Cricetulus griseus: one gene and its partner. The protein of the gene in region 1 interacts with the protein of each later gene in a biochemical or structural test. Links are inferred from orthologs where the notes say so. Each region holds a gene or a part of one and is shown on either strand. Other genes may lie near its edges.

Region 1 (4,250 bases):
AGATTTATGAAAACCTTTTAAATATGCTCAATCACGATGAAGGAAACATCTAGAAATAAAGGTAACTGCTCAAGTGCTCCTTTCTCCTGCAGCTTTGCTTAGCATAACTCATCCTAAATAAAAATGAACATTAAGAAGAACCACGTATCTGGCTTTCAACTCTCACCGGTAATCCTAAAAGAGGATTGTTCCCCCAGCATTGTTTTTAAGGACCCAAGTTAATATAAATGAAATTTCAAAATGGCCCTAATTATTTTTTTTAGTCATTTATTTTTTTTTATTCTTATGCATTGTGTTTTTGCCTGCATGGATGTTTGTATGAGGGTGTTGGATACCCTGGAACTGGAGTTACAGATAGTTGGGAGCTGTTGTGTGGGTGCTGGGAATTGAACCTGGGTCCTCTGGATGAACAGACAGTGCTCTTAACCACTGAGCCATCTCCCCAGCCACTGCCTTAGTTATTTTTAAGATAGAAAGACTGATGTGGTCGTGTATTTATCAATCCACATTTGGTTTCTGTAACGTCTCAGAGATGTTCCATATATCTAAAAAGTCAAGTTGGTCTTGCTTAACATTCATTCCAGAGGAAAGGCTTGTCCACTTTCTCTGTGTCTAACGTTTAAAAATAAGCTTATCTGTCTCGTTCAATATCAACTTCATCTTCAATATCAACTTCATCAACTTTTATCTTTCCAAGACACCACTGAAAAGAGTAATGGATGGCTTTCCCCCTGAGATGAAGAGTCATTGAGCAGTTAAAACCATTATCCTACAACAACACAACCATTTGCTCAAATCTGTAACTCAGTTCAAATCCTTCTGGACTACCAAACAATGATTTTAAGATGAATTATAATTTTTAATTCTGTTTTTCAAAGTTGCTGTCTGGAAATAACAAGAAATGTTGTTGGCAAAGAAAACTTTCACATGGAGGAGAAAGCAGTACATCTGCCATTTTTGTACATGAAATGTTATGCTACATGCTACACAGAAAAAAGAAGAAAACTTTAAAATCAAAGTTCGTTTGTATCATGTATCCTGTGGCCAGACAAGCATTCCTTTTGATTACTAATGAAGAACAGAAGATCAGAAAGTACAGTTTACTTATTCATCCTAATGAAAACCAGCTACAACCCCAATCATTTCTGGGGGAAAGTTCAAGAGAGGGAGTAGAATTAATGCACTGTCAGTAACTAAAAGCTTACATCAGGCCCTTCAGGGTCAGCGATTTAACATTTAAATTAACTTTCTGTTTACCAAGTTACACATTCCCTTTTCCTAAAAATCCAAGTACAACACAATGGCAACATAAGCATTTACTTCTTTAAAAGTGCCAGAAGTATGACCAAAAACTGATTTTCACTTACATAACAATCTTCAAAACTTATCAACAAGGGGTTATGAAACGAAAGCGTCCCATCCTCTCTGTTCATAAAAGTTCACAATGTGCTAAGAAATCGAGGAGGCAAAAAATCTCAAACACTAAGGAAAAATGTACTAAAGACACAAGGGAGGGATAATAGCTAAACGCAAAAACTTCATCGTCAATATAAAAAGCAACAAATTCTAATCTACAACTCTTACCCTTGACGGCAAGGAACAGAATATCCTGCTTTACACATTCTGGGACTGCAATTCTGCAATGCTAAATCCAAAGACAAAGCCGCCCAGGGGAAAATAACAATTGCGCAACAGATCAACAGCTCCAACTTGTCCCTTGGCCCCAGAGCAGCGAGGTTTGCACGCTATAAAGCAGGAAAGGGCCAACCGAGGGCCTCCGTGACTGCCAACCGGCCGCTGTCACCCACCCGGAGGCCACAGCCACGCACACATACACAGTGTGGGGGCCCCGCGAGTCACGACGCTCAGAACACACAGCCCCGCGTGCGGCTGCCTAGGGCCTCTGAGCCCGCCCAGGTCCTCAAGTCCTCGCCTGATGTGAGGCCAATGCCGGATTCCCGGGCTGAGGAAGCGCGAGGAGCCCTGCCCGTCGGGGCACCTGAGCACGAGGGTCACCCGGTGACTTTCTCTTCCGCCCCCAGAGGGCTGGGCTTTTCTAGATCAAGCCGGACTGGCATGATCCTACAGACGACGAGCTCTCGGGCTGAGAAAACCACAGACGGCCAAGGGGGCTTGGCAGCCGCGCTGGAGGTCGCGGCCAGGGGAGGGAAGCAGTCTCCGGGGCGGTCGCCGAGGAGACCTCAGCTCCCCCGAGCACGGCCCCGTGACTAGGCACATTTTTACCGGCACCGAATCTGGGAAACTACGCAAGCCCGGAAAGGGCCGGGCTGCGCCGGCGAAGACAGCCAGCGTCCGCCCCCTCCCGCCGCCTCTGAGCATCCGACCCAGCGAGGTGGTGTTGATGCCCTCTGGCCCCACCAAGCCCGAGCTTCCTCCACACCCCAACCCCAGTGCCCCCGGGGACCTCAGGCTCGGTCCCTACTCTCATCGCTGCCCCAACACCCCCGTTGCCTTCCCGGCCCGGCGGGGGGCAGCTCCCAGGTCGGGCTGTCGCAGTCTGGGTTCAGACTGTCCCTCCCTCCCGGGACCACTGTCCCCTCGAGCTCCCGTCTGCTTCCTGGCACAGCCGATAAGCCCAAGGGCCGGGGCAGCACCTGCTGGGACTGTAGTCCTGGCGGCGGCAACTCCAAGTCCATCATGCTGAGGACGAACGCTGCACTGAGGATCCCCGACGGCGACGCTACGTTGGCTGCCGAGGTGCGGCGGCGGCAGTGACTCGACGGAGCTGCCGGGATCCAGCAGACAGCCGGCTCGCTTGAGTGTCCGGCCAGTCTCAGTCCGCTCCGCCCCCCGCCCCCTGGGGGCGGAACAAGGACCTGGGGAAGCGACAGGAACTTAAGGGCGGAGTGAGGGCTGGAGCGAGAGGCAAGGGCTAGAGTCCCCGGCGAGGGCCCGGGGGCGGGGCAAGGGACTGGGGGCGGGGCAAGAGCCTGGAGTCGTGCAAGGGTCCTGGGCAGGGAAAGGGTCCGAAGACATGGCGAAGGGCGGAGCGAGAGTAAAGGTACTTAGAGGGGCCGGAGGGGCGGGGCAAGGGCCAGAGGGCTTGCCCTAGGGCGGGGCAAGGGTAAAGGGACAAGGCTGGGACCAGAGGGGCGGGTCAAGGGCCTGAGGGCTTCCGGCAAGAGTTGCTGTATTCCCCTCGGCCTCCGCTGATGACCATCCTCTAGCGGTGGTCCGGGCGTGGCCGTGGTCCCACGGGGGCGGAGTGCGGGCGAGAGGCCCTGGGCTGCCCGAGTCCTCGCTGGGACAGCTCTCCCTGGCTAGAGATTAGCAGCTGTTTGCTGAAGGTCGCTGGGGCTCTGGCGCTTTGAAGCAGTTTAAACAGTTGGAGCAAACACACCGGGAGCCCATCCCGGGCGCTGCTATCGGAGCTGCGCCTCCCTGATTCGGATCCGCAGAACCTTGCCCGCTTTATCTCGCCCCACCGGCTGACTGTGGCGCCAGCCGGGGGTGGGGGCTCTGGGCAGGGACTGTGCAGACAGCCAACTGCTCTCTGTCCCCCTGTCCTGCTCATGCTGGTGCGGGACAGCTCTGCCCCAGGGAGATGCGTCCACATTGCAAACTTAAGTGAACGCCCTCTATTTCTCCCACGTGCCCGCATCTAGCGGCCAGAGCTGAAGGAGTGTGTGGGTCGTTCACCCAGAACACACAGGAAGCAGCCACACAACAAATAGCATCCTTCACAGGTGTGGATCCTCATGATACAGTTCCCCCTCTTTTTTACGATTTTATTTTGGAACTTTGAGATAGGGTCTCATGAAACCTGGGTGGTTTTGAGCTCCTTATCCTCCTGCCTCCACCTCCCAAAGGCTGGTATATAGCAGTGGTTCTCAACCTTCCTAATGCTACTACCATTTAGTACAGTTTCTCTTGTGACCCTAAACCATAAAATTACTTTTGCTGCTACTTTATAACTGTAATTTTGCTGTTATGTATCACAATGTAAATATTTGATATCTGAAATGTGACCTCTGTGAAAGTTGATCCATCCCCAAAGGGGTCACGACCCATGGCTCCAATATAGGCTATGCCACTAGGTTCTGTTGTCCGAGATGGTGATTGTTTTTACAATGTCCATTCCCAAACATACTTCCCTAGCCCCTGAAAAAAAAAATCCAATCTATAAAACAGATCGTAAAGGGCCTAGAAAAAAATCGAGGGGCGTTCACTAATGTGTTAATTGTTGTTCTTTTGCTTCAAATGCTAGGATAAAGTAGGAAGGGGGTCCT
Region 2 (3,566 bases), on another chromosome or scaffold:
TCATAACAGCAACCCAGTATCCCTGGCATGATAACAAGATGAAGTTCAAGTTTACCAGGCAGCAGCTTGATTACACACTAAGTGTTTGTGTTCTAGAGTCAGACTGCCCAGTGGATTTCTTGACTAGGTTGACCACTTGCTGAGGTCTGTGATGCTGGACAATTTACTAGTGATGCTCCACAGGCACCAGGCTTGCTCACCTGACTAGGGAGGTTAAGAATAGCACCCAGGGGTTGTTCTGAGCATCAAAAGGATGCTTGAGTGAAGCATACGGTCCTGTTCTAGGAACACAAGACATTTCACAACCACTAACTGGAATTACTAATGTACGCCTAGAGTTCCCAAACTGGTCGGATACTAATGGGAAACTTTCTTTAAAGTACTGATGTGGGGCTGGAGAGATGGCTCAGAGTTTAAGAGCACTGGTTGCTCTTCCAGGGGACCTGGGTCCAATTCCCAGCACCCACATGGCAGCTCATAACTGTCTGTAGTTCCAGGGGATCCAATACCCTCACACAGACATGCAGGTAAAACACAAAGGCATATAAAAAGTATTGATGCTTAGGTTCCACCTGGACCAAATAAAAGCAAAGTCTCTAGAATGGGCAGTTTCTGCAAATCTCTTTGCGAGATTCTGAGGTTCCATGATGGCTGAGAACCACTGGTTTCTGTTGGCAGGGCGTTTGCAGTGGTGGCTAGCACAGTAGTTATCCTGTAAGGGTGAAAAGCCTTTCTTTTTTATAGTTTCTATGAAACTTCGGATGGGTAACAAGCAATACATCTCATTGCACATCCTCTGAACTTAGGCTACCCTGCTGAAATTCACCCTTGCATCTCCAGCTCTGCTTTCTTACCTCTTACGCACTTTCTTCAGGATGCTGTACTTTAAGAAGGCAGATGCTTCCAGGTGCTGACGAACGCGGTAGGGATCAGTGAGTACGGGACTGTGGTTATGCTGTTCCATACATCTAAAGTTGGATCGTAACAGTCCAAAGTCTTGCAGCGTTGAATGCCAAAGTATCCTCCGACTACATAAAGCTTGTTCCCGGAGGCCACAGCATGGCAGCTCATGCGCTTGGCTGTCACATCTCCCACCTTGGTCCACTGGTAAGTCTCACTATTGAATTTGTAAGCAGAGCAGGCAGAGAACTCTGTATCTCCACCCATAATAAATATCTGGTTCCCCAGCACAGCTGCTGCTGTGTAACGCCAGGGCTGGGGACAGGTGGCCGGTACTGTCCACCTGTTCTCACATTGATCATAACACTGAACCTTGGGAAGCTTGTCATGACTTACACTGGTACCTCCAAAAGCAAACAGCTTGAGCTTAGCACTCACTACAGCAGCATTGCTGACGCCTTCTCGGAGTGGGGCCACCATGGTCCATTTGTTGGTTGTGGGGTCATAATGTTCTACTTGCTTTAGAGACACTGAGGGGGAGGCTGGGAGGCAACCAGTTGCAGCTGTGTGCCCACCGACCACATACAGGCAGTGCTTCAGTTCAGCAGATCCATGACCGAACCTGGCCACCAGCATGGGGGCAGCCTTGGACCACTCCTCATGCAGGGTATCATAAACCCAGACATCTTTTGAGACTCCGTTTTCGGATCCCCGCCCCCCAGTAATGTACACTTTGCAGCCAATTGCACACGCACTGAACTCTTTCCTTGGGCTGGGAATGTCAGCCTTGGGAATGATTTCTTTAGCCTTCTGGTCTACCAAATACAGTTTGTCACACATGAAAGTCTGTCCTCCCAGGAGGAAGAGGGCATGGCCAGTTTTCCGTGGGCGGGCACAGAGGCTGGTCACCACACCGTCATTCTGCAAGATTTTCAGTTTGCACCGGATGGCCTCTTCCACAATCTCCTTACTCTTCCTCTGCTTGGTGATGAGTTCTTCCATCGCCACATTCTCCATGAGATAGATGGCAGGAAGGAGGGCCAGCCTCACAGTCTGCAACAGTTCAGGGAGGTAACAGTAGCGCTTCTTCAGGTCATAGCTAATCCAGTTCATGGCAGACTCATACACAAGCCTTTCGTCTTCTGTCTCCAGTTCTTCACTAGACAAGAGCTGCACAACCATGTCCTGGGGCAACTGGAGGAAATCTTCATTCTTGCGGATGGTTTGGAAGTTGCTGAGACACATTCTCCATGAGAGTTCATAGAGCTTGGTGCACTGGTGTGCATCAGACAGCAGCAGCATACCCAGGCAGTTGGTGGGATGCAGGTTCTTTTCCAGAAATTCTGCACATGCATCTCTGATATCTTGAAATTCCAGCATGTCACCAGCTTCCAGGAGCGACTCGGCATTTTCTTCATTGATGATGACCCGGGAGGAGTATGCATAGTCGAGAAGCAGCTCTAAGACTTCTGGGTGGATGGAATTGTCGAAGTTGACCTCACTGTCCTGGCTCTCTTTCAGGCCACCACTGAACATGGCTTCAAAGTAGCGGCTGCATGCAGCCAGCACTGCCCGGTGGCAAGGGAAGGTCCTGTTTCCAGCATGGAGGAGGACATCGGTGAAGAGCCTCTGCTGACGTAGAAGGTTCAAGTGAGTGAGGACACTGTCCGCATAGGAAGACTTATGAAACAGGTAGATATTGATGGAGCCACTGCTGGCTCTGGACTTGCGGTTCTCATGCACACTGACTGACATTTTGTTTCAACTCCTAAAAGAAAACAAAACAAACCCATTGAACACGTTGCTCTTGATATTCCCAGACATAGCACAAAAGCAACAATCACTTAGACAAAGAAAACAGCCTAGTTTGTCCTGCTACTACTGATCCGAGATGGGTATGGCTGCTATAGAACAAAGCCAGGGAGAACTACCTGGGAGGGAACACATTCCTTGTAATACTGTTGAGCTATTTGAATCATATACTGTTGGGGGGAGGGGAGTAATGGCTTATAAGCAGGTTTATCTTGGAAAACCTGACTGCCAGAATGTAAGTCAGCAGAAGCTGAGGGAAGCCCAACTCATTCTCTCGGTTCCCAGCGCCAGGCCAGCTGATTCACTCCAGGCCACTTAAAATGCCAAGCTTCCCGCTCATAATGCCAAGAACGTCAGGAGGGCACCGGCTTTAATGCCCTATGCAATATAAAGCCATGTGTAAAACAAACACCTACTAATTAGAAATTCTATTAAGAATTCCTTTGGTAAGATCCAAACTCTGCATACATGTAACTACCAAACTCATGAAGAGGTCAGACTTTTACACAAAGGTTAAACAGACAGTTTCTAACTAGACAGCTCTGCCACCAGAGCTCTAAATGCAGGAGAATGTAAATATTTCCATACATTGATCAGCAGACCTCAGTGAAAGCACAAAATAGATTCTGGCCACAATTACCACCCATCTTCCTGAACCTGGACAGATTCCAGAATGACACTTTGGCACATAAAAGGAAGAATATTTTGAGTAGGCAGCTCATGCTGTTTTTCTTTTCTTCCTGCTCTATACCAGTTCTTGGAAAACCGGCACAAGAACAAAGGATGCATCCACCCCCCTTTGATTAAACACTCCATCACCAGGACTGTTATGTACCTGCAAATGCTGCACCTGC

The links.
Region 2: the proteins of Nfe2l2 (region 1) and Enc1 form a complex in vitro, tested with the Homo sapiens proteins (2 studies listed by BioGRID). The link is inferred for Cricetulus griseus from reciprocal best matches to the Homo sapiens genes NFE2L2 and ENC1.

Annotation. Positions count from the first base shown.
Region 1 is NC_048599.1:99,368,064-99,372,313, reverse strand, and holds the start of Nfe2l2 (nuclear factor erythroid 2-related factor 2), read right to left. Parts: upstream 2,857-4,250; 5' UTR 2,661-2,856; coding exon 2,616-2,660; intron 1,736-2,615; exon of another isoform or gene 1,585-1,735; intron 1-1,584.
Region 2 is NC_048595.1:315,972,444-315,976,009, reverse strand, and holds part of Enc1 (ectoderm-neural cortex protein 1), read right to left. Parts: intron 2,669-3,566; 5' UTR 2,656-2,668; coding exon 886-2,655; 3' UTR 855-885; intron 1-854. UniProt on the Homo sapiens protein: Actin-binding protein involved in the regulation of neuronal process formation and in differentiation of neural crest cells.